Lepisosteus oculatus: one gene and its partners. The protein of the gene in region 4 interacts with the protein of the main gene of each other region in a pairwise test. Links are inferred from orthologs where the notes say so. Each region holds a gene or a part of one and is shown on either strand. Other genes may lie near its edges.

The links.
Region 1: the proteins of ccdc57 (region 4) and transmembrane protein 100 interact in binary tests that used the Homo sapiens proteins (3 or more experiments, as listed by UniProt). The two-hybrid records come from large-scale screens. The link is inferred for Lepisosteus oculatus from reciprocal best matches to the Homo sapiens genes CCDC57 and TMEM100.
Region 2: the proteins of ccdc57 (region 4) and fam161a interact in binary tests that used the Homo sapiens proteins (3 or more experiments, as listed by UniProt). The two-hybrid records come from large-scale screens. The link is inferred for Lepisosteus oculatus from reciprocal best matches to the Homo sapiens genes CCDC57 and FAM161A.
Region 3: the proteins of ccdc57 (region 4) and sfi1 interact in a two-hybrid assay, tested with the Homo sapiens proteins (2 studies listed by BioGRID). The two-hybrid records come from large-scale screens. The link is inferred for Lepisosteus oculatus from reciprocal best matches to the Homo sapiens genes CCDC57 and SFI1.

What each region holds. Positions count from the first base shown.
Region 1 is NC_090714.1:3,669,149-3,676,507, reverse strand, and holds transmembrane protein 100, read left to right. Parts: upstream 1-4,412; 5' UTR 4,413-4,555; coding exon 4,556-4,936; 3' UTR 4,937-6,808; downstream 6,809-7,359. UniProt on the Homo sapiens protein: Plays a role during embryonic arterial endothelium differentiation and vascular morphogenesis through the ACVRL1 receptor-dependent signaling pathway upon stimulation by bone morphogenetic proteins, such as GDF2/BMP9 and BMP10.
Region 2 is NC_090712.1:9,716,368-9,724,034, forward strand, and holds the start of fam161a (protein FAM161A), read left to right. Parts: upstream 1-4,563; 5' UTR 4,564-4,890; coding exon 4,891-5,058; intron 5,059-6,681; coding exon 6,682-6,941; intron 6,942-7,343; coding exon 7,344-7,667. Other genes in the region: cct4 (T-complex protein 1 subunit delta), read left to right, coding at 60-168, 468-610, 784-905, 1,009-1,141, 1,245-1,384, 1,516-1,612, 1,768-1,878, 1,964-2,094 and 3 more. UniProt on the Homo sapiens protein: Involved in ciliogenesis.
Region 3 is NC_090717.1:705,145-712,891, forward strand, and holds the start of sfi1 (protein SFI1 homolog), read right to left. Parts: upstream 3,090-7,747; 5' UTR 2,231-3,089; coding exon 2,017-2,230; intron 447-2,016; coding exon 366-446; intron 96-365; coding exon 1-95. Other genes in the region: eif4enif1 (eukaryotic translation initiation factor 4E transporter), read left to right, coding at 5,006-5,178, 5,316-5,433, 5,930-6,003, 6,267-6,397, 6,511-6,782, 7,513-7,711. UniProt on the Homo sapiens protein: Plays a role in the dynamic structure of centrosome-associated contractile fibers via its interaction with CETN2.
Region 4 is NC_090704.1:39,519,318-39,527,031, reverse strand, and holds the start of ccdc57 (coiled-coil domain-containing protein 57), read right to left. Parts: upstream 3,033-7,714; 5' UTR 2,945-3,032; intron 1,250-2,944; 5' UTR 1,202-1,249; coding exon 804-1,201; intron 1-803. UniProt on the Homo sapiens protein: Pleiotropic regulator of centriole duplication, mitosis, and ciliogenesis. Critical interface between centrosome and microtubule-mediated cellular processes. Centriole duplication protein required for recruitment of CEP63, CEP152, and PLK4 to the centrosome.

The DNA of each region.
Region 1 (7,359 bases), on a different chromosome or scaffold from region 4:
TTCTAAGGGATAGTTAGTATAGATTCAGAAGAGGTGGGTCTTATTTAACTTGCATTATTTGAGCAAGCAACAACATTGCTGGATACAAGTGGAGCATATCAAATTAAGGGGTTCAATGTTATATTAAAATTATACAGTGCACTCATAAGATTTTAATGAGAATGCAGCGTTCAGTTTTGGTTGTCAAGATAGTAGAACTGCACTGCCGCTCTTGAATAAGTGCAAAGAGGAGCCCTCTTGGGCTTAAAGGAATGTCCTGTTCTAACAGGCTAAAGGGACTGAAATTGCTAAAACTTGAACAGAGAAGATTATGAGGAGACCTGGTTCAAGTATTGAATATCCTAAGGGCATTGCCCAAGTCATCGCAATGAACATTTTCCAATCCATTGTTTTCAAATAAAACAGAGAACAGGAGGCACTTTGTTACACAAAGGGTGGTGGGGGTATGGAACAAGACACCCAGCTGTGTTGTTGAATCTGTTACTGTCCCTTTCCAGAAATGGTCGGATGATTTTCTCAGATGAAACTGGCTTCCAATAGCCCCTCGTTCTTAATACAGTAAAGACGGGGCAAAAAGGGTTTTCTGCATAAGCAACAGCAGCAGCTTGGCTGCCTTCTTGTTTGCAAAGTTCAGGCTATTGTTGGGAAACACCGCTCTGATTTAAACTTGGCATTGCAGCTCCGAGGATGCAGTGATACCTCATATGTCCACTATGGGTCTTTATTTCAGTACTTTCACTACTTTATTTCACTCACACTGTTCACGCAGGTGGGACTTGGAAGCCTTAAAAAAAAGCCTTCAAAAAGGCTTGCAGTTTTATCATGAATAATAAAGTTCATCCTGCACCATTTGGGGACCAAAATCTATTTGGATTCCTGTAAACTAACAGCGATTTTACATGGATCCTGTATGTGTCCTTGTACCTGGCTTGCAGGAAACTTTGATTTCCTCTGCAATTCCTAAAGAAATCCCACAGCACATTTAAAGGAATCCAGCAGGAGTTTTTGTGCAGGGTTTTTCCATGACGTGATGGCCCACACACTGAATATACCATACACAGTAAATGATATCTTGATGAGCCAGGATTTAGAATAGTTACGGTGTAGAATGTGTGGTCAGACCACCACCTCAGGCATTTCTTTTTGTTCCTGCGCCATATTGCTTCCTGATGTGGGGAAGTTTAATGTTCTTAAATGCCCGGGAGTGTAATATCATCGTAATGGAGTCTCTGTGAACGAGACCCGTGTTACACATATATAACTGAGCTACTTGCAACCACAGTAATCCCAAAACAAATAACAAACCTCTCCTGTTAACCTTTTTTGGGTTTGCAACAGGAGTGAAGAAATCCTCAGACTAATTAGGTCTGGTTTGTAACAGCTTGTGCAATCGTGCATTGTAGCGGACAGCTTTTTGGAACCTGATTGATCACCAGTTTCCCTATTTGCTCTTCCCTTAATACGTGCTGTTTGAAATTGAATGTGCCTTAAAATGTGCCTTCCTTGGCATCAGATCCCATCTGCGGCATGAATGAGGTATTTAAGATTCCCGAGCTGGTGACATAATATAGTGTAAACACAGGAAACAGCAGCCATCAATAAAGATGCAATTTACTTTCCTCACTGAAGGGAGAGTGTGTTGAGTCATCGTGACCATTAATTAAATTGTGTTTCTCTCCTAAACCTGTAATTCTGGGACAGCTTCAGTCACGACATTGAGAACTGGGGAGGGAGAAAATGGAAACACTTAAAACGCAAGAAGCTTAGGTGACTTTACGCCGTGAGCTCCCGGTGAGGAAAAATTGCCTTTGTTAATTCAGAAGGCAGTCTTACTCACCCACCTTTCACTCTGTTAAGATGAAAACATGCAGACAATCGCATAATCACGCTTTAGATCTGTTACAAGCTAAAAGGGCTGTGTTTTTTCCATCTTTGTCGTGAAGCACTTGGCAGTATTAGAATACACTTCACCACACACACAACACTGTACAATAGCTCAGTTTGCCACAAGATTTCTAGAGCTTGTGGGACAAATCCCAGCATCCATGTCAGGCCCTGCATGGTGTGTTTGTGCCAGTTCCACTTGGTGTCTCATACACGTTCTCTTATAATCAAGGCTGCTCATTTTATAGTAGTGCCAGGCAATACTCCGAAACATGAATATGTATTGATTTTGATGGGTACTGATATCTTTCTCTGGGAGCGGGGGTATTGTGCTTGCAAGGAATAGATATTCAGAAATTGGGGAATAGGAAATGAGAGAACTTAGATATAGAATCTTATTGGAATGAAATTGTATACCGGTATGACTTTGTACAGTTATGGAGGCACAGAGGCAATTTGTAATTACATTTTCACCCACCTCTGAAACAGGCCCTTGCTATGAACTGTGCACTGCAGAGGCAAAATCGCAAGTTTGTCGCATCACTTTAAATCAAAGTGCTCCAGTCAATAATTCTGCTTCTGTTGGATACACTTCTGGTTGCATTTACTACACTACTGTGCTAATGTCCAGTTAAGATAGCCACTCAACTGTTTTGTATCTGTTTATGTACGGTAGTGTGTTATGGATAAAGTATACATTACTTCCTCCCCTCCACCTCCTGAGCTGTCAGGTACAAGTCTCTTGGTAGGTTTCTGCAGCAGCTGATGAACCTGAAGTTGATTCTCTGGTTTTCCCAGTCACAACAACTGGAGGGAGATGATCAGATCCTCCGGTTATCAGACACACCACATCTTGAGGCAGCTGATCACATCCTCTGATCATCAGAAACACCACATCTTGAGGCAGCTGATCACATCCTCTGATTATCAGAAACACCACATCGGGAGGCGTCTGATCACAGCCTCTGATCATCAGAAACACACATCGGGAGACAGCTGATCACACCTCTGATCTGATCACATCCTCTGATCACATCCTCTGATCATCAGGATCAAACATCGGGAGACAGCTGATCACATCCTCTGGTCATCAGAAACACCACATCAGGAGGCGTCTGATCACATCCTCTGATCATCAGGAACACGCATCGGGAGACAGCTGATCACATCCTCTGGTCATCAGAAACACCACATCAGGAGGTGTCTGATCACATCCTCTGATCATGAGAAACACACATCGGGAGGCAGTTGATCAGAGGCAATGAGTGCCTGTGCACAATGAGTCAAGGTGACTTCTAGCTGTCCAGGATCAGCGGCACTCACACGCTTACAAATCGCTCGTTGTAAGCGACCACATGGGAGCCTTCAGGATGATGTGGGGTCTGTTACCGATCATTCCTGCTTTTGAACAAATGAAGCAGATCTGGTGCTATTACCCAATAGCTCAGATCCTTTTATTTAGATTAATTCAATTTTCACCCACCACATGTGAGCAGTGTTTTCTCACTGTTCTCTGTAATTATTTTCTCATATAAGAAGAGAAGAAGAATTAACAAGCCCACACAACTGATCCCCCAGAAACCGCACGTTGTGAAAAAAAATAGGAGGGAAGAAATAGCACTTCCAGAATCACTTACAGCATGCTCCAGGGATAGCGACTTCTGCTTCTCGAAGGGAAACAGATCGCCAATCGCTTTAAAATTGTTTTTAAGCCTTTTCACCACCGGTTTTCTCTCTGCGTTGTTGCTAACTGCCCCCCATTTCCAGATCTCTAAAACTGCACGTTTGTGTACCCGAACAATCCCCTTAAAAAGAGAATGGTAATCCCCACTGCTCATCACCACTGCATCGGCAATAGAGGACTGTTGAGAAATCTGAGCCGCGAGAAGACAACCCCGCTGTAGAATTCTTCCCACCATCCCCTCCCGGCCCACTCTTCCTCCTCTGCCCCCGTGTGCTGGCTGCTATGACAGTTGGTGTGTCATCAAAGCAGCAGGCAGACTGGGCATCGAAAAAGGACCTGTGTAGGTGTGTGGCTGTGGGAGCTCGTTCTGGGAATTCGCATTTGCCCCCTTCCTTTCCTGTCTGGTTCACACATGCCACTGATGGCACTTTTCCCCACAGATAAGATGAAAGACTGATGGAGCTCGGGGGAAGGCCAGCAATATTCCCGACCAGAGAGCACAAGTACACAAGCAGGCCCCTGCCGCTCCCAGTAAATGTCTTTCTAAAAAGCAGCAGAGCTTTGGACTGGGCGTTTATTGGGAAGAACAGCAGCAAAGCTCCCCTGTCATAAAAAGCTCGGCCTCACCTGGCCGGGAAAGGGCTCATTGAGCTGGAGAGGGCTGCGTTAAAGCAGCTCGGCCAGCGAACAGTTAACTCCCCCCCAGCCTTCTGCTCGCCTCCCTCCCCTCCACTAGCTGTGACATCACACACGGGGCAGCAGCCAATGGCAGCGCGGGGGCCCGCCCCTCCCGGCCCCCCCCCCTCCCCTCGTCTGCTTATATCTCCCCTCAGCCCAGCGCAGGAGTTGAAAATGTGTTGTTGGCGATCCGGGAGGCAGCACGCAGAGTGAGCTTCAGTGCTGCTGGCTGCATTTTTGTGGCCGTCTTTTCCAGCTGCCTTTCCTCTCCTTGACAATGAGCGGGCTCCCTCAGCGACTCCTGGTGTAATGGGTTGCAAGTCCGGACCTCTGGCCTGCCGGCAGACTCAGGCCCCAGAAGCCCAGGATGCCGCCTCAGATGGGACCCCCAAACCCCCCGAGCCCCTCTCCACCCTGGAGCGGCTGGCCCAGGCCACGGGGGGCGCGGAGAAGTCCTGGTACCGCTGCATCTTCCCTTTCGGCGTCATCTCGCTGGTGATCGGGGTGGCGGGCACGGGCGTCACCTTCTACTTCAACAACCTGCAGCAGGCCAAGGTGGTGTCCGTGGTGCTGCTGGGGATGGGGCTCGCCCTGCTGGCCATGGCCACGGCCTGCTGGCAGGTGCACAAGAGGAAGAGGAGGAAAAAGAAGGAGGGGGGCTCCTTCAGCTCAGAGCACTGCCCCCTGTGAAGAGCAGACACAAGACTGTGCCCCCCCACCTTGGACCTGGACTCGAGCAGTGTCTGTAGTGGGTGAGGGGTTAAGCCACTGGTCGCCTCGGCTGTGGGATTGAACAGAACTGCGGGGCGACTGGGTGATACAGGAGGTGCCCTCCTGGCACCCTCTTTCCCACTTCTCCGGCGCTTTTCCTCGCTTTGCTCCTTCCGGAACGTCGGCCACCTGCTGCCCCCAGCCGGACAATTCGGCTGGCCGCAGGATATCTGCTGGGAAGAAAGAAACTGCCTGATCCGCGGGGGTCTTTCAACTGCTTTTGTCACAAGCTCTTCTCTTTTTCTCTTCAATGGAAAAGAAGACGACAGACCCTCCCCCCCCACAGGCGCACGCGGACGCAGGCGGTCTGAGTAGAGTGTTCTGACAGGCAGGGAAAGCTGGCTTCCTAACTTCACATGTCTGAGAAGGATCCACTGGCAGAGCAGGGCACCTGGTGACACTACAGATATTGTGCCACTGGACACCGAACCTGGTATGTTCTGCAACTTGCTTTTTTTGCTTGAAGGAGAAGTCTCTTTCACTTTCCCCTCCCCCCCCGCAGAGGGACTTCAGCGCCAGAACTCCCAGTCCTGGCTGAATGCCTTTCCCAACTCCACCGAGATCACAAATGTCCGTCTGAGCTAGCTGATAAGCTCCGGCTGCGTTCGGGAAGCGTTTGGAAAGAAGCCCCGTCTGACGCGGAGGTTAACTTTCGCTTTGGAGTCCCGACCCGTGAGAGCTGGTGCTGCCGCTCACACAGAGAAACCGCGCTGGGGGCAGCAACCCGTAAGAGACGGTTTCGGCGCTCTTCCGTCGTCTCGCTGTCGGGAGCTCCATGGCCGGCCCAGGATGGGACACGGGGCTCTCCAGAGCCCAGGGGGGTCACACGGAAACAAGTCTGAGATCCCTCCTGGCAGCAGTGCCTCAGCCCCCTTAAAAGAACAAGATCTGCCTGAATTCGACCACAGTGCCTTGTGTGTGCAAGGTGTGTGGGAGAGGAGCATGTGCTTCTGTCACCACGTCAGTCTGGCCTCTCATCCTGCCTGATGCCTGATGCCCGCTGCTCCCGCTGACTGCCAACCCCACTGGACTGGCCCACGGAGGGGGGGTCCCCCTGCACGCGGCAGGAACCAGACTCAGCAAGAGCCCCGCTTTCTGTTTGCTCCGAGAGGCCGCCAGCTCCCTCCCCCCCTCCCTTCTCGTGGCTCAGAGCCCAAAAGGGGGGATTTCAAATGGATGTTAACCTTTTGTCGCCCACTCCTTTCTTCCCTTTCCTGCCGGGAGACAGTCCGCGCCAGCTCTCTGTGGAAACAGCCGACGACAGCCAAGCAGGGGCATTAGCGAGCCGAGGGGCTAGGAACCGAACAGACAGGTTTGTCGACTGCGAGGTCTGTTGGCTGAACATCCCGATATCCTTGGTTCGACAGTATTTGTGAATGCTATTAACCCTGGGTCGGTTCTGTATTGGTTAGCTAAGTATGGGTAGTTTTCAGATTCACTTAAGCCCTAAGCTGTATTTTTGTTATGTCGTTTTCTATGGTTTTTCATCAGAAATTTACAATGAAGCTGTGTACAGTATTTAACAGCTGGTGTAACGCTTTATTCAACTGTGTATATATTAAAAAGTAAGTAGGAATGGTGCAGGTGTGCAATATCTATTCTTAAAAATGCAGAAAGCACTGCTAGATTCCTAGCACTGCCTTCTTAGGTCATACCTGCTGTTCAAACTTTCTGCCTGATCTGTGTGCAGTGTAGAGTCAGAGTGCAAGAGAGGTTTAATAGTACAAGGATGCCAGTATGGCCTCAACACACTGTGCCATCCTCATTAAAATACTTACTGCCTTGCTAAAACCACAGTCTTCTTGTGTCCTTATTAAGAGCATGGAGCGAAGCTGTAAATGTTAAATCCTTCTTTCAGCTGACTTGCATAAGCGTTCCTACATTTGCTGTGAAAGTTCCTGAAATATCTCGTTGCATTCCTTTTTCAAAATGCATAGCAAATTTAGATACAAATTTGCCAAAAATATACAAAAAATTATAGTGCCTATAAAAGCATAAGCAAAAGCAAAAATCTCTGCTGAGAACTACAGCACACAGATTTTAAATTCTGCTGTACAATGAGTCTTAAAGGCACATAATGTAACTGTGGCTCTAAGCCTGCTTATTAAATAAAAAAACATATTAATTACCTCATATTCCCTGCCTATTCCCCAATCCAACCACATAGCTATGGTTGATTATGGTGTTTTCTAACCCTGCCTTCAGTAAAACAGGAGGGTATTTTCTAAACAATACCAGATTCAGCTACCGAATGTAGTCAGCTATTTAGTATTGTTAACACAGGTTTTTGCGACACAGCATAGCAAAAATGACTATTTGGGCAAAAAAAGAATATTTGAATA
Region 2 (7,667 bases), on a different chromosome or scaffold from region 4:
TTCTGTTGCCTTCTAAGTTCATGGCCAGCAGTTAACCTAAACTCCTTTGCTTACTCCAGCTGGTGGAGCTCTCCAAAGCTCAGGACATTGAAGCTGGTGATGGGACAACTTCTGTTGTGGTGATTGCAGGTGCTCTTTTGGATGCTTGTGCTAAACTGCTTCAGAAAGGTAAAGAATTTCCATCTTGTTTGTTTGGAGTCAGTTATATTTTTTTAGTTTTCTAACCAGAATAAGTCAACTAGAATAAGTCCACAACCAGGAGAATACCCATTTGTACATTAAGGCATTTACTGGAGTAAATAATGTGATTAGGCTTGCATCAGAGTACAATAACATCCCACCCGGAATTTGATTCCACAGCTCTCTGATCCGCAGTTCAGAGCTCTAATCGCTAGTTTGCATTGCCACAGGTGTATGGTAAGTGTTGTCCATTTTTATTAATGTTGATTAATGTGATTTTGTTGTAGGAATCCATCCTACCATTATTTCGGAATCTTTCCAGAAAGCTGTGGAGAAGGGTGTTGAGGTTCTGACAGCCATGAGCCAGCCTGTGGAACTGAGTGACAGAGAGTCTTTGTTGAACAGTGCCACTACGTCACTGTGCTCCAAGGTAAATCATTTCAAAATCTTCTATGATAAAGGCATTATAAAATGTTTAGTCATCACATAATAGTTTCTACTAGGAATGCCCTTTTGAAGTGCAAGATGAAATGTAACTATTTTTATAGTTTAAATGACTGGTCATTTCAGTTGAATATCTTTTTTTGTTTTATCCCTGTCCAGGTTGTGTCCCAGTACTCCAGTCTGCTGGCACCAATGAGTGTTGATGCTGTGATGAAGGTGATTGATCCATCTACGGCCACGGGGGTTGACCTCCAGGACATTAAAATTGTGAAGAAATTGGGGTGAGTTGACAAGGTGCAGTAGCTGTGCTTTTGATGGGGAAATACATCTAGGGGTGTAACAAGAAATTGTCAGAATGGAAATTAACAAAGTTTTTATTCACAGGGGAACCATTGATGACTGTGAGTTGGTTGATGGACTTGTGCTTACGCAGAAAGTAGCAAACTCTGGTGTCTCTCGGGTTGAAAAGGCAAAGATTGGTCTTATTCAGTTCTGCTTATCTCCTCCAAAGACGGATGTAAGTTTAAAATTTTCACTTCTACAGTAATTGGCGTTGTGGAAGGACTATGTAGTTGTGAAGTCAGATGGTGTACTGACATTGACCTGTTTTTGTCTGCTAGATGGATAATCAGATTGTTGTGTCTGACTATGCCCAAATGGACAGAGTGCTACGTGAGGAGAGAGCTTATATCCTCAACTTGGTGAAGCAAATCAAAAAGGCTGGATGCAATGTGTTGCTCATTCAGAAATCTATTTTAAGGTAAAGTTCATATCCATTTGCAATATAAATCCATTTTGTATTATTCTTGTTATACTGCAGCTTTGTTCTGTTTTTTTCTTGTAAGTATTGTGAATTAAGTTTATTAATGATCATTTAAAATATAATTCCAGGGATGCACTGAGTGACTTGGCTCTTCATTTCCTAAACAAGATGAAGATAATGGTTGTTAAAGATATCGAAAGAGAAGATATTGAATTCATCTGCAAGGTAAAGAGATAAATTATATTTTATGTCAACATCTTGTTAGCATTTCTGAACTGAAAATGGTTAATTATGATCTAACTTTTGTCTGCTACAGTTATACTGTTTTCTTGTAAGGAATTCTTTACCACCATAGATATATTTTGTATTTGTGATTGCAGACTATTGGAAATAAACCTGTGGCCCACATAGACCAATTCACAGCAGATATGCTGGGCTCTGCAGAGCTGGCTGAAGAAGTGAGCTTGGATGGGTCTGGCAAGCTTGTCAAAGTAAGTCATTTGAATGTCAGCATAGTTTTTGAAGAAATGTGCTTTTTAGATGAAGCAAAGAGACTTAACATGATTTGTTATACAGATTACTGGCTGCGCAAGCCCCGGAAAAACTGTCACCATAGTGGTGCGTGGATCCAACAAGCTTGTGATTGAGGAAGCGGAGCGCTCCATCCACGATGCCCTCTGTGTGATCCGCTGCCTAGTGAAGAAAAGGTATTGCTACAATTTCAGTGTGGGTGCTTTCTACACCAAAGTAAGGTTGGAGTGCCCTAATTGAAAAAGGGTTTGTGTCACACGCCTTATTGACTGGCGAAGTTGTGAAGAACTTCATTTAAAATAAGTGACTTTTTAAAAAAAATACCCAGTGCAGTGTTGTTTAATAAAGGTCATATAAAAAAAAATGAAAGGGGAAAAATGTATCGACTAACAGCTAAATTACTGGTATGTGGCTTTGTATGGAATAAACTGCTTCTAGATTTACTACATCATATAAGCAGTTTTTAAAATTATTAATGAATTGTTTTACCTTGAGCATGAGCTCCTGAATGTTGGACCCTAACCTTACCCTGCCATCCCTTCACAGGGCCTTGATCGCTGGGGGAGGCGCTCCAGAGATTGAGCTGGCTCTGCGCCTGGCTGAATATGCCCGCACGCTGAGTGGCATGGAGGCCTACTGCGTCCGTGCTTTTGGCGATGCTCTGGAGGTCATTCCCTCCACGCTGGCAGAGAATGCCGGGCTCAACCCTATCTCCACTGTCACAGAGCTGAGGAATCGGCATGCGCAGGGAGAGAGGACAGCCGGCATCAATGTCCGAAAGGTAAGCTTCCTTCTTCAAGTGTAAGGGGACCGGGAAGAATAAGGGTTTTGCTGCAACTTTTCATCATGCAAAGGTGCCACAAAAATAACGCAAAAGATTTTGGTTCTAAATGTTGTTTACAATGTACTGAAGGAGTTTATTTTTGCACGTCAAAAGTTTTAGCAGGTCTGACTGAGGGAGTCCTCTGTTTTTTCCACAGGGTGGCATTTCCAACATCTTGGAGGAGCTGGTGGTGCAGCCATTGTTGGTGTCAATCAGCGCCCTGACTCTGGCCACTGAAACTGTGCGCAGTATTCTCAAGATTGACGACGTGGTAAGGGTCCTTATTACGAGAGCTGCTCTAACCAGTGCTGAAAGCTTGTTGGGGGATAAATGTGGGATGAAGACTCTAAATAAGAAAAGATAATTTGATGCACTTGTGATTCAGAAGGAAAATTCATTTTAACAGGCAAACTGGATGCCACATCCTAACTTGCTGATTGATGCCTTTCTAACTCCTGAATCGCCATCAGTACAGCACTTCTGCAGTGATTCTTTATAATGTAACTAGAAGCTGTATATTAGCTTTCAGTCATGCTAAGACCTATAGTTAAAAAAATCAGATATTTACTAAAGAGATGGATACATCTACTAAACACTTTTTCAGTAAGTTATAAACTTTTTGTTTTATAATTTAAACTGTGTTAAATATTTATTTGTGTGTTTTGTTTATGGTGCACTGATCACAGGTTTCTGACAAATAGCCAGTTTCGTTTTGTCCATATTGAATATTTAAGCAGATGACTTCTGTAATGGAAATACTCTGTAATGTGATTGATATTTAATTTTACTGTGAAGTTGTTGAGATTTCTTAAAATAGTTACTTCAAGACATTGCTTGTAGTTAACTTGGATAAAGTGCAGTAAAATATTGTTGATGACTTTAAGATTATAGTATAAACTTAAATCAGTTAAAGGTTTTTTTAAGATCTGTATTAGATTGTGCAGAGTATTTAAACACTATGTTATAAGTAAAATCTCAAACTGAAATATTCTTTTTCAGCTGAACACTCGGTGAAGTCCTCTTCTGTGGATTCAAGAAAGGTCAAAACGTCCTGGCCCTTCGTACAGACAAGGCCTTGATTTAATGTAGTGAGCCTGCAGACCAATGTCACATATGTAGTCTGTTAATCTGTACTTGTTAACTAATTTAATAAATCTTTTGAGATCAAAATGTTTGCCTTTTTTTAGCAAAAACATTATTTGGTTGCAGCTTTTGATTACCAGTGTGGTATCCGTTTGATTTTAAAATGGTGGACCTTTGTCTTAATTTGCGTTGTATTAAAACATGTTTGATCTTGCATTATTCTTCATTTAAGCTTTACATGAGCATAACACATTGGTTTAAATGTTTCATCCATGTCCACACATAAAAGAAACTTAGATTCATTGGTAAAAGTAAGCTTTTTACAGATTGCCATTTCTCAAATTGCCTCTTGGACTGTCAGGGGATCAAGAGCAATTAAAACAGCTCATCTGTTTGTTTGAAAAACACCTTGAGATGTTTTTCCAAAAATTGAATTGTAAAAGACCACTGGGGAAAAAAGTTATTGGAATATCTGCAGTGGAGACAATGCATGAGTAGGTATAGTCTACAATATTAGCTGTTTTTGTAGAAAGGTCATTAACTTAAATTTCCAGAGCAGCACCTCCTCCAGGCTTATGGATTAACACTTGCGCTGTCACTTAGACTTTTTTAAATCTTTAAATCTTATTGAACAGCTTTGTCAAATAGAATGAATCTGAAGGACTTTCCATGCTCCAAACCATTTTAGCTGCAATACGTGTAAGGGCATTACACTTTATATAGAGCGCTTAACTAACTGGTTACACCGCATTCTCTGTTCAGAACAGAAACATGATTTCGTGTAGTGGGTCCAATTAAAGAGTGTGCTTTATTATTATAGTTGGAGTTAATTCAAGGTTGCCAAATGTGAAAATGCTGAGCTGTACACGGGACTGGTGGAAACGCCGTACCTTAAGCGATTAGAGGAGTTTTGGCCCAGCGGCTGCCCCGTAGAGTTAACTGTAACCAGGGTTGCAACGCGGTTAGCATCAAACAGTAGGATTAGGAGTTACGGGCGTGTAGGACGTCAAAGCACTGGGAAGTAGCCTGAATTTCTGAAAACCGAAAGCGAGTCAAGTGCAAGACAATGGAGAACTCGCACCGTGTCAACGTCCTGGTAACTTCGTGTCTCAAAACCCCCGTGAACCCTCTTACCAAAGCACCAGTTGCTCTGTTTGAGAGGGAGAGCGCTGCTACACGGGGCGAGAGGTCCTTACCGGCGGAGCAGACCCGTACCCGAGATTATGAGGAAGAGGTAAGAGTACCGAAATTAAACATAGAATTGGCAAGAGAAATCCTGTTCCTGTGACCGTTTCACTGTAGCGCTGAAAATGTTTAATGAGTATCTCTAGATTATTTTTATATTTCTTTCTGGTTTGGGCATCGGCACTTTACCGTCGCCAGTCAAGCTAAGACTGGTAGTGAATGGTAGACTGGTAGGCTCCAGACAGTCTTGCAATTACCTTGAGCCTCAAATATTTTATTCCTCATTTCCACACCTTCGTTGTAACCATTACAGAGGAACTGTTTAAGAAAACGTTTCCTAAAGTATAGAAGACAAAGGGCCCGAAATAATAAACTTAAAACGAAGGTTTTTCTTTTCGCGTTGTTAGAATTCCACCAAAAGCTAGACTATTAATTATTTAAGAGGATTGGAGTTAAACACCCTTTCTGGAAAGAAAGCTTCTGCGATTTGTAACTATTCTAGGATGCAGATGAGACACTAACGTTTAATGGATTACAGGGGAGAAAAGTGTGGCTCTTTAATCTGTATTGTACAGAGCCACTCGAACAGCGGACAGGTACAGTGGGATACTCATTTTTCACCCTTTGTCTGCACGCTGAGGTGAGGCAAATATTTATACAGTATTTAAATGGACCAAATGTTTTAGTGGATGATTATATTTGTCATTAGAAATATTAATATGTAACTGTTTATGGCGAGGTATTGTTAAAATTTCATAGCATTTTCCCTTAGGGGGATTTTAATTTGTGCAGATAAATCACTTGTGGTATATTGCATACTTGGGTAGTCCCTTGCGACCCTAAATTGGAAGAATGGGTTAGAAGATGAATGCTTGTGACTTTCTCAGACATTCCTCTGAACACCCGAAGGAACCAATGTGTCTTGAGTTGTGAGCATCGGTGTAATGGAATAAAAAAATATATATTTTTGGCATATTGATACCTGTAACCTATTTAGTATCTTTCTTTACTTTCTGTCTTGGCTGTTCAGTATCTTGGTCATTATAGAAGATGAGCTTGTGTTAAGAATACACATGTACCTTTTATCACTGTTGCTACAAACATCTTCGCACTGCTGAGTGCCATATGGTCACTTCAACTAATGAGCTTTGTGCTCTAATGCTGAGAGGATATGGTATTCAGAGAGTGGTTTGCTCTTTTATAATATTTCCTTAGGTTAAAGTATGTGTCTTCTAGTTCAAACCTGATGTTCACCATATTGTTTGTGAATGACGAATTAAATATGAAAGGAGACCTGCTGTTTAAAGGTTACATTGTAAAACAACAAAGTTAAACTTAAACCTGTGTTTGTAAGTTCATTATGTAAAATATAATGGTTTATCAGTGATGAAGATTTTGTATTTTCAGTGGAGCCTCCAGTATGATGGTTAAATAAATGCAAAATAAAGTGTATTTCATACATATTTAAATCTTCATCACAGCGCTTAATATCCTGCCTGCAGTGTAGTTGAGCTGAAGCATAATTTCATCTGTTGCTTTAGGCTTTGCTCTTATTTGATTAATGTTAATACAATTAAAACTGGTTCAAAAATTGTTCTTGGAAACCTCGACCTTGTCAGCATGCCATCATGCCATTTTAATTGAATTATTCTTGCTTTATTTTGTGTTGCAGAATGCATATGAGTCGGGCTTAGAGTGTGAGGGCAGGAAGGACAGTCCTGTGCTGATTAAGGACTACAGAATGGCTGGAGACTGTGTGGATCTCCAGGAATTTTACTTCTCCAATGAGGAATACTACAGAAAACTGGAGGAACTGAAGAAAGCCCATCTGCAGACCATGGCAGAACTGGAAAGGATGTATCGCAATAAGATGGAACTCAAAGGAGTGGCAGCTCCTGACAATGAGTGTGCAAACCCTGAGTTGTTCTGCAGGTTTGTCTTTCTTGGTGTCCCCAGTAACCTAAACACCCCCTAAAGTGAGACTAGAAGCCACATTGGATCTTAGATTTCTCATCAACTCACATCATCACTGCTGAGAACAAAGCGAATTTCGTAACAGAGTTTGTGGTCAATATATTCTTTAGAAAGATGCATCTACATAATACGAAGTATTGTAGTTATTCAGATTTTGTCTTGCCAGGCAGTAACTTATGGTAACAAATGTATTAACATTTTCATCACATTATTAAAGTTTAAATTTGCAGCTTAACCAGTGAGACCTATGTGTGTCTATATTCCAGACTACTAAATATGTAATATATTGAGTTGCAGTATCTCAAACCCTTACTTTACCTCAGATTTAAAGCTCTGACTTGTACTTGTTCTTTTTCCTAGATTGCAGAACAATAGTCCAAAGCCAACAAAAGCATTTCGAAAAGCCTTTTCTGCGAATGACCTGAATCATACTGTTTGTTCAAGTTTGTCAGATACATCAGATGAAGACGCAGCATACAATGAGGCAGGGGATGTTGAAAAGGGTCTGCTGTCATCTCCCAAGGAGCACATTAAAAACATGTGGGATGATTTTTCAGTGGATGATTATGTGTCCTGTAAGAGAATGCAGTCGAGTTCTTCTCTGAAAAAACAGCAGACTCAAAAGAAACCCAAAGAATGGTGTCATAGGATCACTGTCCCCAAGCCATTCAACATGACTGTCAG
Region 3 (7,747 bases), on a different chromosome or scaffold from region 4:
CAGCCGCGGCGGGCCCCCCTGCATCTTCGCGGTCGGCACGGCGCGGCAGCCGAAGGCGGGGGCTCCTAGACGAAACTGATTCGCGCACAGGACAGCTGAGGCAGGGAGAGGGGAGAGGGGAGAGAGGAGAGAGGAGAGAGGAGAGAGGAGAGAGGAGAGAGGAGAGAGGAGAGAGGAGAGAGGAGAGAGGAGAGAGGAGAGAGGACTCAGTCTGTGTTGCATTTGAAATGGCCTGCTCTGCTCCTGACATCCAGACATCAGTCCAGCTGCAGCCTGGTTCAAGTCTTTCTGATTACACAGACAGCAATATAAGAAACAACTGAAAGGAGAAGAAAAACAATGAACTAACGTTTGAATGAACTAACCTCTCTCTAGGGGCGGAGCGGTGGCTCTGTGTCTAAGGATCTGCGCCTGTGGCTGGAAGGTTGCTGGTTCGTATCCTGCGACTGACAGAGGAATCCTTCTCTTTTCAGCAGGGAATAAACCTGTACTTGAGCCCTTGCAGCCTACACATGCTGACACAGCTCCCTACTTGAACTTCTGAAACCTGCTGCCAAATTTCTCATCCTTTTTTAAGAACACAGCCTACAGATTAGGGGTATTGCTTACATTCTCTGTTCAGTCATGAGCGTGACTCAGGCAGGCTCCTCTGACTGCTGCAGGAGCCCGTCACCTCGTCAGTGAGGCCACGACAGAGCTGATCTCCCCCGCTGTGAGCAACAGGCCTGAAGAAAGGCCACACAAAGGAACCTTATCCAGAGAGAGGCCTCGGTCTCATCGGGGACTTGGAGGCTGGATTGAGTCACCTCAGACAGACTCATCAGGAGGGAGTCAGGGCCTCTTCAGTGAGGACCAGAGGTCAAGGGTCGCTGACCATGACGGTGTCGGAGAGTGTGGCACCGAGGGGCCGGACGACACACTGACTGTGGTGCACAACGGCCCAAAACTTATTCCACGTTGAAAGGAGAAGAGACGCAACGTTTCGGCCGTGGCGACACCTGAAGAAGGCTCCACAGCCGAAACGTTGTGCCTCTTTTTCCCTCCCCCGCGGGGAATAAACCTTTACCTGTTCCCTTGCAGCCTGAGCGTGCTGACACGGCCCCCCGCTCGAACTCAGTCAGCGGAGAGTCTGAGCGTGAGGGTCAGGGCAGAAGAGTCCAGCCACTACAGACCGACAGACGTCAACCCCCCTGACCAGTGATTTCACCTGCGCCAGCTCTGTTCAAGACAATTTCAGTGTGCCTGCTAGAAAACGATGACGTCACTCTCCTCAGATTAGCTTGGTGCGAGATCACACCCCTGTCCAGGAGACCCGGAGTCACGGCTCCCTGTCCTGATGGACGGGGGGCCGAGTGTGGGGGCCGGGCCAGGAGAGTCCAGTCGCTACAGGGCCACACTGCTAGGGCCTGAGGACAGCCTGACCGCAGGGCACCACCCTGATCGGGGCCGGGACACGAGGTGACCGCCAGCCGGACAGCACCTGTCCTCACCCAGCTCGTGAGAGACGAGGAGGGGGCAGCCGGCTGCACTGGGGGCGCCCAGTGGGGCGAGCTGGGCTGACCGGTGTTCGGGCTCCAGGGGACAGCGGGACAGAAACCCGCAGAGCTGCTCCTCTGTCTCTGCCCTGCGGCGGCTGGTGACCACACTCCCTGACCAGTCCAGCTGAATCGCCCTCAACGACACGGTCAGCATCACGAGTGTCCCCGCGTCAGCTCTGCGGCGTCAAACGGAAGGGCTGCACCCAAGCCGTTTCTCTGAAGGAACTTTATGTTTTAGTCAGAAGTGATGAGCTTCTGTTTGGACAGTCCAGTGCCTGGAGAGCAGGTGGCACTGTACTGTGCACCCTCTGAAAGCAGCGCTGTCCCACTCTGGGAGGAATACGGGCTAGAGCAACGGCCAAGCGTCTTGTCACTTCTGCCGGCTCTGCGTGGTGAAGGAAGCCGAGGCCAGAGGGGGTGTGCGAGACGACTGCAGCCGCCTGCAGAGCGCGGGCAGCGGCCGGACCGCGGAGCTCACCTCGCCTGGCGTCTGAGCGAACCGGCCGAACCCCCCTGCCCGCCGGGCTCGGCGACGGACACGAACCTCTCGAATCCACTCGACTGTGTAGCGGTTTCCCCTCCGCGGTTCCGCTGCTCTCAGCGCGTCTGTGTCTCTGAGCGCCTCCTGTCCCGCCGGCCCGCTCGCTGGCGGCGCCGCGCTCCCACAATGCACCGGCTGCCCCGGTTGCCATGGCACCCCGACGCCGAGCAGCTGCGTGTCTGGCTCGCTGGCGCCCCCTAGTGCACGGAGGGGGCGTGCGCGACCGCTCTCCCTTCAATATCGGCAGCCCACCACCCAAACAAGCGCTTTCTTGTTCAGTAAAACGTGCACAGCGCTAGCAAGGCTCTTTTCCTGATGTCCTGTAAACTGGGGTTCGAATTCAGCGCGCAGGGCTTTCGTTCCTGTTGAATTTCTGGACGAGCAGGACAGTACCGGTGGAATGAAATGACTGCATTTTTGCGGCCTTTATTTATTCGTGTTGACCAACTACCTTATTCTTTAAGCATCCCTTATGTGCTGGCTGTAAACAAAACTGACTTCGGTCTTGGGTGCATAGTTCACCCCGGGCAGGGATTTCTCTGCGTCTTGGACACACTACAAACTCACAGGCAGGGGCGATACAAATATACTATATATATATATTACACATCTTTACCGTACAGAGTACGCCTATAAACTAGGTAAATTGTTCAGCATTCAGAATGCCCATTCAGAGTTCTGCTCTCCCTCTGCCATTCGTGGACAGCAATAGTTTTCACTGCAGCCTTTTTCTAATCTGTTACCGGTCAGGGAATATCAGTGGAATTGTTTTGCTTAACATAAACAGGTACGTCAAAAGAATATGCAGTAAACTCTAAGCACTTCAAAGTTTAAAACTGCAGAGTGTATCAGACCGAATCAAATCACTTGACAATGGTATTAAGAGAAGATGCGGTATAAGATTTGTTTTTTTTAAACACTTGATGACGTGAAACACATTCTCCTTCCTTTAACGTCTTGCCCACGCCCCCCACACGTCGCGCGCAGCTCGCCAGTCTCAGCCTCGGGCTCGCGGCGCTCCTGCGCTGTGATTGGCCAGGGAGCAGCTTAGGCGCCCTCGCCGTTCGCCTGCGGGGTCCTACAAATGGCGACCTTAAAAAATCCTCCGTCCCCTCGTTAGCAAAACCAAGCAGCGAAGGAGGTGGAGTATTTTGCAAGTCTGCGCTGGAGAGAGGCTTCAGCTTCAACATCTGAGCGAGATTGTAGCCGACAGTGGTGTCAGGCGGAGGTTGAGCTGTATATAATCCCCGCGAAGACCCCCCCCCCTCGCTGTGCAGTGAGCTGCTGGGAGAGGATCTCGCTGCGGCGGAGAGGCGGACCGGAGAGCGGAGAGAAGCCCCGAGGTAAAGTTGGACACTGAGGCGGGCGGCGGGGCCACCATCGCCGGCTTGGGCTCCGACAGCACAGCCGGGCGGACAATAAGCCTTCCGTCGGTCGCTCTTTGTTGCGGGGAGGAGATATCACGAGTCGGTGGTGGGGTGGCGGGTTTTTCTTCGCCTATTCCAATCTTTTAAAAGCTTTGTTTTCGTGCCGGCGTAGAGAGCGCGGCTCTTAGGCTGCTTTCTGCTTTTGTGGCTGAGTCGCGTCTGCCGGTCGCGTCTGCATCCAGTCCCGTGAAAAAGCCGCTCTCTTCTCGGAGTAAGACCGCGGCAAGGGGAGCGACCGCACTCCGGTCCCGGGTAAGACGGGTCGAACTCGTTTTGTCATGAGCTGACCGCTTCTCGGCGGCGTCCGGCGTCGAGAAACTGTAGCAGACTAAAGCCGAACTCCGGGTCCTGCTGCTCCGGTCGGGTTCGGAGCCCAAAGCGACACGCAGCTCTGGCGACAAAAGGTGCAACGTTTGAGTATTGAAGCCGCAGGAGGACGTCTGCTGTCTAGGGCAGTTCACCGATTTTCTCTCAAACTGCTGCAGTCGCCGGAGGTAACGGGAGAAAAGTTTCAGAGTTGAGACCAGGCCCGGGCACCCCGTTTGCTTTTTTAGCCGGAGCTCTCGGCATTATTGAGCCAAGTTCGTCTTTCGGACAGTCTTGCCCGGCCGACACGACGGGCAGCTTTCATTACTTTGGCCGGGCTTTGGCGAGACCGCCGGGCTGGTGGAGCCGGCAGCCAGCCGGAGGAGCCGGGTTAAGTGTTTAAAATCCCCCGTCGCAGCGCCGAAAGCACCTGCGGCTGGAAGTTGATCTGTTATGACGAGAATTCAACGATCCAAGAGACTGACCGTGAATTTACAAAAAAAAAAACAACAAAATCCAGGTGTGGAGGTTTCAAGCCGCCGTCCACACCTGTGAGCTGCCCGAAGCGGGCCGGGTCTCGGTGCGGGCGGCCGGTGACGCGCAGCGGACGTGCCCGCCTCCTCCCTCGGTACCAGCGCAGGGCGGCTGATCGCACTGGTAGCCGGACCCCCGGCATCAGACTGCTGGGCACTGAGGGGTCTCGTCTAGTTCCCGTCTAAAACCCGCCAAGTGGGATTTAAAAACAGATTCCGGTCGGGTTCTTAAAGTTTGCTTGATGTGATGGCTTGGGACCGCTTTGCTGTGAGCTCTACAGGTTGTCTTCCTGGGGGCTGGACAAACTGCTGCACTGTGAAGGCGTGATCCGCTACTTGACAAAGCGGTTTTGAACGGATTTAAGACGGTTCCTGGCGCCGTGCGCTTGCTCTCTGCTCGAGGGAGAGTAACCGACGAGTGTTCTGGATTGAGGTCCCATTTAAATCCAGCAAGGTTCCGTCGACCCATCCGCTTCCTAACGGCTTCATGAAGTGCAGGGTCACGGGGGCGCCGGAGTCTATCCCGGCAAGCAGCGAGGCAGGGTACACGCCGGGCGGCACGCGCAGACCGCAGCAGGGCCGGTTTCTCCCAGGAGACGCGTACTGGCAGGGAGACCGGAGCACCCGGAGGAGACCCATACGAATGCAGGGAGGGGGGGCATGCAGACTCCACACAGACAGCACCCCAGGTCTGGAGTTGTACTCGGCGCCCCCGTGCTGTGCCACAGTGCTGCCCGGCAGTGTGTTTGCAGCCCTGGAGCGTGGGTGTGTGCGCGCTCGGGGCCGCCGAAGGAGGTGGATATAGAAATGTCCTGCGTCAGGCGGAGGACATGGTGAGCGATGAGCAGAACGTTCCCCCCCGCCCCCCGGACGTGAGCGTATGCGCGCTGGGCCCGGCTGACCCGGGATTGTTTATCTGTCCTGTGAAAGTGACATCACAAAGCTGAGGGCTGTTTTCTGACTCGGGCAGGTGCTTGGAACTGAGAGTCATGGAAAAGGCAGCAAACCCCGAGGCTCCGGAGGGCGGCGGCCCGCTGGCCGCCATTCCCAGGGGTTCGGAGAGGACGTCGCCTTACAGATACACTAAGGTAGGTTGGCGACGCCAGGAGCTGGCCGGGCAGGGGCCGGCGTCGGGCGTCGCTTCCTCGCAGCTTCTCAAAACGTTCTCTCGTCTGGCTCTCCTTGGGGCGGCCGCCTGCCTCGGGCGGGGTTCGAAAGCTGCCCCCGAGCTCGACGAGATGGCTGTTCGGGGAAGAAACTGGCCCTCTGAGCTCGGGCTTGTGGGCCCGCTGTACACTGAGCGGGTGTTGCTCCAGTAAACGGGCCCGGGCTGCAGGTCCGTGTCATTCATTTAGTCAAAAACCATCGCGCCCTCAATTCATTCTTTACTTCAACCTGAGCTCAAGCATTGACTTGTGCTTAGGTGTTGCGGCTTATTCAAAAGGGGTCTTCAAGTTGGAGTTGTTTTGATCAGATCTCATGTCCCCAAGGGTGCCGTCACAAGCCGGACTAGTACAGGAACCTGGGTAAAAGTGTATTTGTGTTAAATCAGAATTGTAAGGCGCTCTGGCTCTGCTGTCGCAGGAGGAGCTCTTGGAGATGAAGGAGTATCCCTGCTCCAACGAGAGACCTGAATGCCTCCTGGAGAAGTACGACAGGTACTGCCCCTCGCCGTCCGTCCGTCCTCAGCTGCCTGCGGGCTGGTCTGGGTAGTCTAACTGTTAGACCCGTGGTTTACTGGGGGCAGAAACAGGAGCCTGCCTCCCAGCACTAGATCTGTGACTTGCAGCGACGGTTCTGGGTCTGTTCTCAGTCGACTTGTTCCGCCCCGGTGAGTGGTTACATTAAGAGCTGAGGGATGCGCACCTCTGGGCTGGCCAAAACGAGCTCGAAACCCCCCCCTCTTTCCTTCCCGTGCTAGCGATGGCGTGTGGGACCCCGAAAAGTGGCATGCATCCCTGTACCCCAGCTCGGAGCGCAGCTCGCCGGTTGAGGGGTACAGGAAGGATTACCCCGGAGACGACCGGGTCCCCCTGAAGCGCAGGATGGCAGGTGAGGGAGGAGCCCCGAGGGTGGGTGGGTGTGTGTATGTGTGTGTGAGAGATGGACGGTTTCCTCTTCTCCCCCCCCGAGTCGTCTCTCCTCACCCCCCCCGTGTGCTGCAGATCCCCGGGACAGGCTGAAGGAGGAGGACCTGGATGTGGTGCTCAGCCCGCAGAGGCGCAGCTTCGGCGGGGGCTGCCAGGGCACGGCGGCGCTGGGGCCCCAGGCGCGGCGGGCCGTCTCCCCCCTGGAGAACAAGGAGAACGAGAGCCTGCGGCTGGGGGCGGCGCGGCGCATCGGCAGCGGCCGCATCATGGCGGCGCGCGGCTTCGAGCGGGAGGCGCGCGGCGAGAAGGAGGCCCGGGAGAGGGACTTCAAGGACAAGAGATTCAGGGTGAGCGCAGCGCCCCCTCTGCTCCGGCGGGCCGAGTCTCGTTGTGACTAGGCGAACTGGGAACGGGGTGGCACTGCGGCCTCACGGGGCTGGGCCCTGGCATCCTTCCTGGGGGGTGTGCATGCTCTCCTCGTGTTTGTAGGGGTGTACTCCCACAGTCCAAAAACATACCGTGGTTTAAATAGCCTCGGGGACCGCCCGCCCCGGTGCGAGTCCGCGTGTGCCCCGTGATGGACTGGCGTCCCTCCCACGGTGTGCCCTGCCTTGTGTCGTCGCTTGCCGGGACAGGCTCCGGCTCTGCCGCGACCCGGAATTGGAAGAAGTGGGTAGGAGATGGATGGGTGGAAGCTGGAAACATGTTCCTCGAGTGACACTGCTGCCCCCTGGGAGTCTGGTCTGAGGCTCAGGCACGCTGTGCTCTCCCGTCACTCAGTGGTGTGCTGGTGTGAGTGGGCCGTGCAGTCCAGCAGCGGTACAGCAGCTGAGCTCCCCTCCCCCAGTGTGACCACAGTTCTCCCAGCTGCAGTGACGTGCGTCTTGACGTGGCACAGTCTTGCCCAGATCTTGAGAGACCCCCCCCAGGCTGTACTGTAAGGAGGCTCATCCAGACGGCGAGAGACCACCACCGCGATCTTCTCCCCTTCCTGAGCTTATCCCAGTGGGGGAGAGGACAGAGGTACGGTCGCAGAGAGTCTCACGCTCCGGCGGTGTCCTGTCTCTGCCTGCCCAGAGGGATTTCGGTGACAAGCGGGTCTTCAGCGAGAGGAGACGAAACGACTCGTACACCGAGGAGGAGCCCGAGTGGTTTTCGGCGGGCCCCACGAGCCAGTCCGAGACCATCGAGCTCATCGGGTTCGACGACAAGGTACTGGAGGAGGAGAAGAGGCGGAGCAAGCGCTCCAGGAAGCGCTCGGAGTCCGTCAAGGAAGGCAAGTACCAGGGCGGGGCGGGGGGCTTGTTCTGAA
Region 4 (7,714 bases):
AAGCAACCATGTGTAATTGGAAATAATGACTCATCACACTTCTAAATGCGGGATGGCATTTCTTCATCTCTTGGTAATATCTATTTGCTGTACTACCTCGTAATCATGTTTGTTAAGACAGGCTTTATTTCATTTGTTGACTTTAGCTCATAGCCTCCAGAGCTCAGGAACATATTTCTTATAGAAAGCAATCACTCAAATTCTATCGAGTGGTGAACAATTTATCATATCGTGATGCTAAAGAAAGGCTGAAATTATTCCCCAAGTCCAGTCTGGTCCAAGTGTTCCTCACAAATCTCATGTGACTGCTATATTTAGATCATTATTTTGATGGATACACAATTTTTTAAAATGCATTTTCTTTAACTTTTTTTATTTGGCAAATCCATTAAAAAGCCCTGGTCTTTAAGATCCCCACTCCCCAAGAGTTTCTTCTACTGGGTGAACAAAAAAGTTAAAATCAAGCATCTTAATTCTATCATTTGGCGCTACAGGCTTTTCTGATTTTAACATTAATTCACCATAAATGTTTCTGTAGTGTAATTTCATATTAACAGTATGGTTTTTCAAACAGTAATGGAAATGTTTATTCTTCATAAAGAACGCAATTGATTATAAGTCTTAAAGAATGCAAGTGATCAGAGTGGACTAAAACACATTTTAAAGCCAAGAGCTTTAGAAACAGCTTAGGGCCTCTATTCATTTTTGGGCTGTGCACTAACTGTACAGACCTATTCTCAATTAAGTAATCACAAAGCATTAAGGCTTGGAGCTAAGCCTCAAGAGGAAATACAGTGGATCACCTCTGTACTGTCTCCAGCTGGAGGTGCTGTTCAGCAACTCTCTGTTGGTACAGCCTCTGCAGCTCCTCCCGTTTCCTGGCCTCGGCAGAAACGGCCTCCTGCAGCTTGTCGATTTGAATTCGCAGTTCGCTGGTTTCGGCCCGCCTGGCGCTCTCCACAGAGTGCAGGCGGGCGGCCATGGCGTCATAGCGCTCCAGCTCCCGGTCTCTCTCCTCCAGGACCCGCAGGTTGAATTCAAAGTCCTCCTTCAGTCGCTGAAACACTTCCCCCTGCGTGGTCAGCTGAGCTCTGGTGTCCCGCAGTGCTTCCTCCAACTGCTGAACGCGCTTGGCCTGCAGCTCCTTCCACTCCCTTTCCTTAGAGGCCAAGAGCGCATCCAGGTCCCCCTCGTCCAGCATGGCTGCAGTACCTCCCAAAGAAAGATCAATTAAATCCGGAGGACATTCCTAGAAACAGAACACACGATTTCAGGAAATTCCTATTGTGACTCTTCGAATCGAATCTCTGTGGTGGCTACTCTTCAACACCAATATTTTTTGTATTCAAGTATACAATTATATAAACAGACAACACCGAATGGAAGACGAACAGGGTAAACGGTAGAAAAAATAAACTCAGTTTGCAAACTGCACAGGTACTGCAGGCAGGAGCGTAAGTCACATCTGCTCTAACTTTGGCTCCTGTCCAGACACTTCCTGCAACACCACAGCCACTTGGAAATATTAATGGAGAGACAGGTAATGACTCAGAGGTGGGATTTACTGGAAGCTGTCAGTGACAGAATTGAGATGTATTAGTAATTAGTAATTGCATTAGTAATTGTTGTGATGCTGTTGTTGGCATCCTTAAACACAAAGGAAAAGGTAAAAGAAGAAGCTAAAGCTATACTGATTGCAGTATATCTCTTCTGAACTTTTACTGCTTCTATTCTGTTGCGGTGCTGTGGAAAAGACCAATCGGCACTTCTTGAACTGCCCAGGCAGTAACAGAATACAGATTTATGTGATACTTTGACTTCGGTCCACAGTGGCCAGGCAGTTTTTTAAGGTGCCCGACTGGCCCCTGTCCACACAGACAATAAATTCTGTACTGACAGGAAAGGGGATGCGAGTCACTGATCATTTGTGACTACGAACCAACTTCCTCCTCAGCAGACAGGAGGCAGTGAGTTGCGATTTCCCAAAGATAAAGGCCTCTGATCAGAGTGCTGTGAGTCAGCACAGAAGGGCTGTCTCTTCACCTAACATCTACAGTCTGTGTTTTCACTGATAATCCTGTCTGCTGCAGATGAAAGCCCGTGTCACCAGTCTCACCCACTGTTGTTATAATGTGGCAGCTGTGTTCATTAGACACCATGAAGGACCCAGCCTCGAACTGAAAGGATTTTGCTAACCATTCATGCCACTCCAACATGAAATATCACGCACAAGATCACAGTCCAAACAATGCAGAATTCTGTAGGTATAGTGTTATTAAATACTATTCTTTTAATTTTTGAAAAAAATATACTTGGAACAAATGAGCATCAAGTTCTAGATATATAAGGGAGTTTCTACGCATGTGTGGTATTTTGAAGAAAAAAAAACTCACTCTCCAAATGATTATGATGCAAAGAGAAGACGAAGCCGACGAAGTGACCCATTTGAGTGAAATCACAATAAATTGTGAGAATAATGCATTTTACACAGCACTGAAATGTTGAAATGTATTTATAAAGGTCGTTTTCGTGCATGACATTTAAACAATTTGAACACTAGAAGAAAAGGGTGGGTCACACCTCCTCAAACAATACATTTTAAACACTGTAAAAATCAAAATGATATTAAAGTTTTATTTAAAATCTTTGGAACAGAATCAACATGACGCAATAATGACTTTTATTGCACTTGTTTTCCTTCCGACGTAGACCCTTGCAGTAATGTAACTACCACATGTGACTGATGGATTTTTAATACATTAAATTAATACATTAGACAGACAATATTCAAGAGTTAAAATCGGATCATCGTTTTAGGTTCTTTTTTTAAATAGTGTTATTCGTGTTTGTTAAACCGCTGTTTATGTTTACGTCTTTCTAGAAAAGCTGTAAATAAAATGGGTTTTGAAACAATCAAACGAAAGACAATATTTAATAAACTTACCTTATTTAATAAGCAAAACAGAACAAATTTGGCTTTACTTGAAATTTACTTCCTGAATTGGGTTCAAAGAAACCGCCTCCCTATGAGCGTACATGCAGTCCCTATGGAAACCCATCCTCCCCAGAGTAACAGTTAAAGTAGTCCGTGCAGAACACTATAGCAGACATTTTAAAAAGGAGGACGAACAAAAACATTATTTTTATTAAAAATAATAAATTTAAAGAATCATATTTAGACGTGGTTGTAGAGCTCAGCTAGATTATTATCTTAATAATTCGATTTTTAATGTTAAGAAAACTAACTTCTACACTCGATTGAAATGATAGAGATATGGTATTATCAGAAATAATACTATTAAAAATAAGAAGTGATTATTAGTACAATTTATTGAATTCTACATTTACAATAGGGTTCTGATGAAGAAAAGAAATACAGTGCATGTTTTCAAAAATGGCTATACATTCTGGGAAGTATGCAAATCAAATTGCTTTGACTATCCATATCATTTTCCAGAATGTCATAATGATTCCCATTAAATTTTATCCTGTTTGGAACTGAAAAATATATGTGACTATACATCTATGAGGTAATGAGACATTATAAGAAATTCTACATTTTTACAATAAGTCATTATATCCTCCATATTTAAAGCAAGTTTAATAGATTAATATATTTTGAATTGAAATTATTAGAAATAATAATAATAAACTTTATTTTATATAGCACCTTTAATGGTGGCTTTTCAAAGCGCTTTACAGAATGACAACAACAATAAATAAAAAGAATACAGAAGATAAAATACAATTACAATATACAGAGGAGACTGTGGATGGTGGTACCAAGAAAAGCAGAGAGTTGAAGAATGGAACCAGTTCACTAAAGGCACTAAAGGTTCACTAAAGGGGACTCTCTGATATCCTTGGGCAGAGAGTTCCAGAGCTTGGGGGCATAACAGGAGAAAGCCATGTCACCCCTACAATGTAGACAGGCTTGGGGGACAGTAAGGAGACCAGAATTAGAAGAGCGAAGGTTGCGAGGTGGAAAGTAGGGTGATAATAGTTCAGACAGGTACTGAGGTGCCAAGCCATGCAGAGCCTTGTAGGTGACCAGGAGGATTTTAAAGTCCACATGGAATTTGACAGGAAGCCAGTGCAAGGACTCCAGGATAGGAGTAATGTAATCATTTGCACTAGACCTGGTCAGGATTCTGGCTGCTGAATTTTGGACATAATGCAGTTTGTTCAAAGTAGATTTAGATACCCCAGTGAGTAGAGCATTCCAATAGTCAATTCGAGAGAACACAAATGTGTTGAGCAACTTTTCAGCCACAGTTAACGATAGCATAGGGCGTAGTCTAGCGATATTTCTGAGGTGAAAAAAAGATATTTGACAATATGCTGCACATGTGTCAAATGTTAAGCCAGAATCGAATATAACCCCAAGGTTTTTCAATTTAGATTGAAGCTCAAGTACAGAACCATCTACAGATAGGGTTACAGGACTGGCTTTACGAAGTTGATGAGGGGTGCCAATAAGGATGACTTCAGTCTTAATTCAGGTGGGTAGCTGCGTCAGCATGCGTAGGCTGCAAAGGAACAAGTAATAGGTTTATTCCATGCTTAAAAAAAGAAGAAAGAACATATGTAGCATCTTACTACATACTATACATTGAAGGACCTGAGATTCCTCAAGAAGTAAAGTCAGCTCTGACCCTTCTTGTAAATGGCCTCAATGTTCTTAGACCATTCCAGTCTATCGTCGATGTGCACTCCCAGGTACTTGTATGAGTCCACCATCTCCACGCCACTCCCATGTAGACAGGAGTAGGTTTGTCCCTTTTCCTCCTACCTCCTACCACCAGTTCCTTCGTCTTTGTTACATTCAATTGCAGGTGGTTCTCCTCACACGACTCCACAAAGCTGCTGACCAGTCCCCGGTTCTCCTCCCGCCCACCCTTGATCCCACAATTGCAGAGTCATCTGAGAACTTCTGCAGGTGGCATGACTTTGAGTTGTATTTAAAGTCCGAAGTATAGAGGGTGAAGAGGAATGGAGAAAGAACTGTCCCCTGAGGAGCCCCTGTGTTACTTACAACCTGTTCAGACACTTTCTTCCAGAGCACAGGGACTCTCTCCAAGCACAGGCTCAGGTTGAACAGTCGCTGGAGCACTCCACTCAGCTGATCACCACAAGCCCTCAGAACTTTGGGACAGATGTTATCTGGTCCTGTGGCCTTACCCTGGTGCAGCCTCTTCAGCTCCCTCTTCACCTGGTCAGCTGTGATTGTCAGCCTGGCCTGGTGGATGGTGCTCATAGCACTGTCAGTGCTGCAGGTGTTAATGGCGGAGGTGTTGGAGAGTGGCAGCTGTGGGGGATGGGGGCGTTGGGTGTTGTAGCTGTAGGTGGCCATGATTGTGGGGGGATGGAGGAGGTGTTGGGCAGTCGCAGCTGTGAAGGCTTACGGAGCGTGTGGCAATGGGAGGATGGGTGTTTAGCCACAGAGGGCCCTGAATCAAACCTGTTAAAGAACTAGTTCAACTCGTTGGCCATCTCCAGGTTCCCCTCTGTTGCACCCCCAGCCTGTTTGAAGCCAGTGATCTCTCTCATGCTCCTCCATACATCCCTCACACTATTCCTTTGCAGCTTGTCCTCTACCTTCCTCCTGTAGACGTCCTTGCTCTCTCTTAACTTCTGCTTTAGTTCGCTCTGTACACGCTTGACCTCTTCCTTATCCCCCCTTCTAAAGGCTGTCTTCTTGTCATTCAGAAGAGCCTTAAGGTCGCTGGTGATCCAGGGTTTGTTATTGGAAAAGCAGTGTACGTCTTTGGTGGGGAAGTTAATATAGTCAGTGACACAGTCCACCATGCTGTCTATGTCGTCCCCATGTGGTTCGCACAGCACATCCCAGTCGGTGGCCTCCAAAGCACCACGTAGATCCTCCATAGCCTCCTGAGACCATCTCCTCACAGTTCTCATTGTTGCAGGTTGGCGCTGGACAATAGGCTTGTATAGTGGTGTAAGCAAGACAAGGTTGTGATCCGATCTGTCTGAGGTTGTTTTGGTGATTTTCATTGATGTGAGAGAAGTAGGTTGATCTAGCAGACTCTATAGTAACCTTATATTTAGACAAGTAATCTCTCCAAGCCTGATAATGTACATTTAGGCCAGAAAGATGCCACCTACGCTCAAGTTTGCGAGAGGCTGCCTTCAAATTTTGCAGATGGTCGTTGTACCAGGGGGCAGGGCGAGAGAAGGAGATGGTTCGAGTTTTTAAAGGAGCAAAGGTGTCGAGGGTAAATAAAAGAGCACTGTCACGTAACTGTATTCTGTCCTCTAGAGGGTCAGTGGAAGAGAAACAAGATAAGGAGGACAGAACAGAATTTGAAAACCTTGGGTGATCAATTGATCGCCAGTTGTGGAAATTTATAGAGCATGAGGGGGAAGTGTTAGAAACAGGTAATTCCAGGTTGAAAAAAATAGCTAAGCGGTCAGAGAGGCCTAGATCAAGGGGAGAGCAGTGGGAGACAAAAGAGTCATCTGCAATAATTAAATCTAAGGTGTGTCCTTTGTTATGTGTAGGGGTACAAGATCAAGATCAAAACATCCCAATAGATAAAGGAAGTCTTTAGCCAGACTAGAAGACCTTGAATCGATGTGTATATTAAAGTCCCCTAGAATAAGGATCCTTTTAAACTTAAGGCATAAAAATGAGAGTAAGTCAACAAACTCACCTAAGAAGGCTTCACTGGGTTTGGGTGGTCTATAAACTGTGGCAGTAGTAGTAGATTGGGGGATAGAAACATTTAAAACAAGGCACTCAAAAGAAGATGGAGGAGGTATAGTAATAGGACTTAGATTGTAAAAAAAGGTTGTAAATACATGTAACAATGATGCCCCAGAATTAGCAGAATGATTGTTAAAACTATATATAGCCATTTATTTACGTTTTACCGCAATGCACACCAATTATGATAAGAGTTTTAGTCTTATTGTGAGACCAATACATATATTTTTTTTATATTTTGCAGGTCTAAGAATAGTCTGTGCTTCACTGTCCTATCCTGTGGCACATAATTGTTGGTTTATTTATACCATCTATTATTCATAACATCATAAACCAAACTGAAAGCAAAGGTTTACTAGGTAGTAACAGAGTGGTGTGGGGGAGGTTTCTCAAAGACCAGATGTACTCAGTACTCAAACCAGCTCTGAGCTCCCTGAAAAGATGTGAGAATCTTGTGAAAGCTTCTGAAATCCACAAGGAATCCCACTGTGTGAGTACAGGTGTTAATTGGGTATCGATTGCATGTTCAGTTTAGACTTTATAAGCCTCTTTCATTTCACCTTTGCTTGTTAAACCAGGCAATACTGGGCTTATTTTCAAGGCATCTCTGCCTGTATCAGATTACAGTAATATTCACTCCTGGTCCTGAAAGGCAGCGGTCCATTTTTATTGGTTTTATAGTTCTTAATGAGTAAGGACGTGGAAATATTTTCATGTTAGTAAAGACCAATTAAGCAAATAATTGGTTTAAATAATGTCATTAGGGTTCCAGGAAGGAATTAAAACCAGCAGCCATAGTGTTCTTTCACGACCAGGAGTGAATAAATATCAGTGACCTTTCACAATGGTTCCCAACACTTGTCCTGGAGAAACATACTGTAGCGTCTGCTTGTTTTCAACCCTGCTGAGCGTCAACTCTCCAGTGCTAATTGATTGCTTAATTGATCTACTCACTTGTTTAGACTTTTATTTAACTTGTATCTTCTG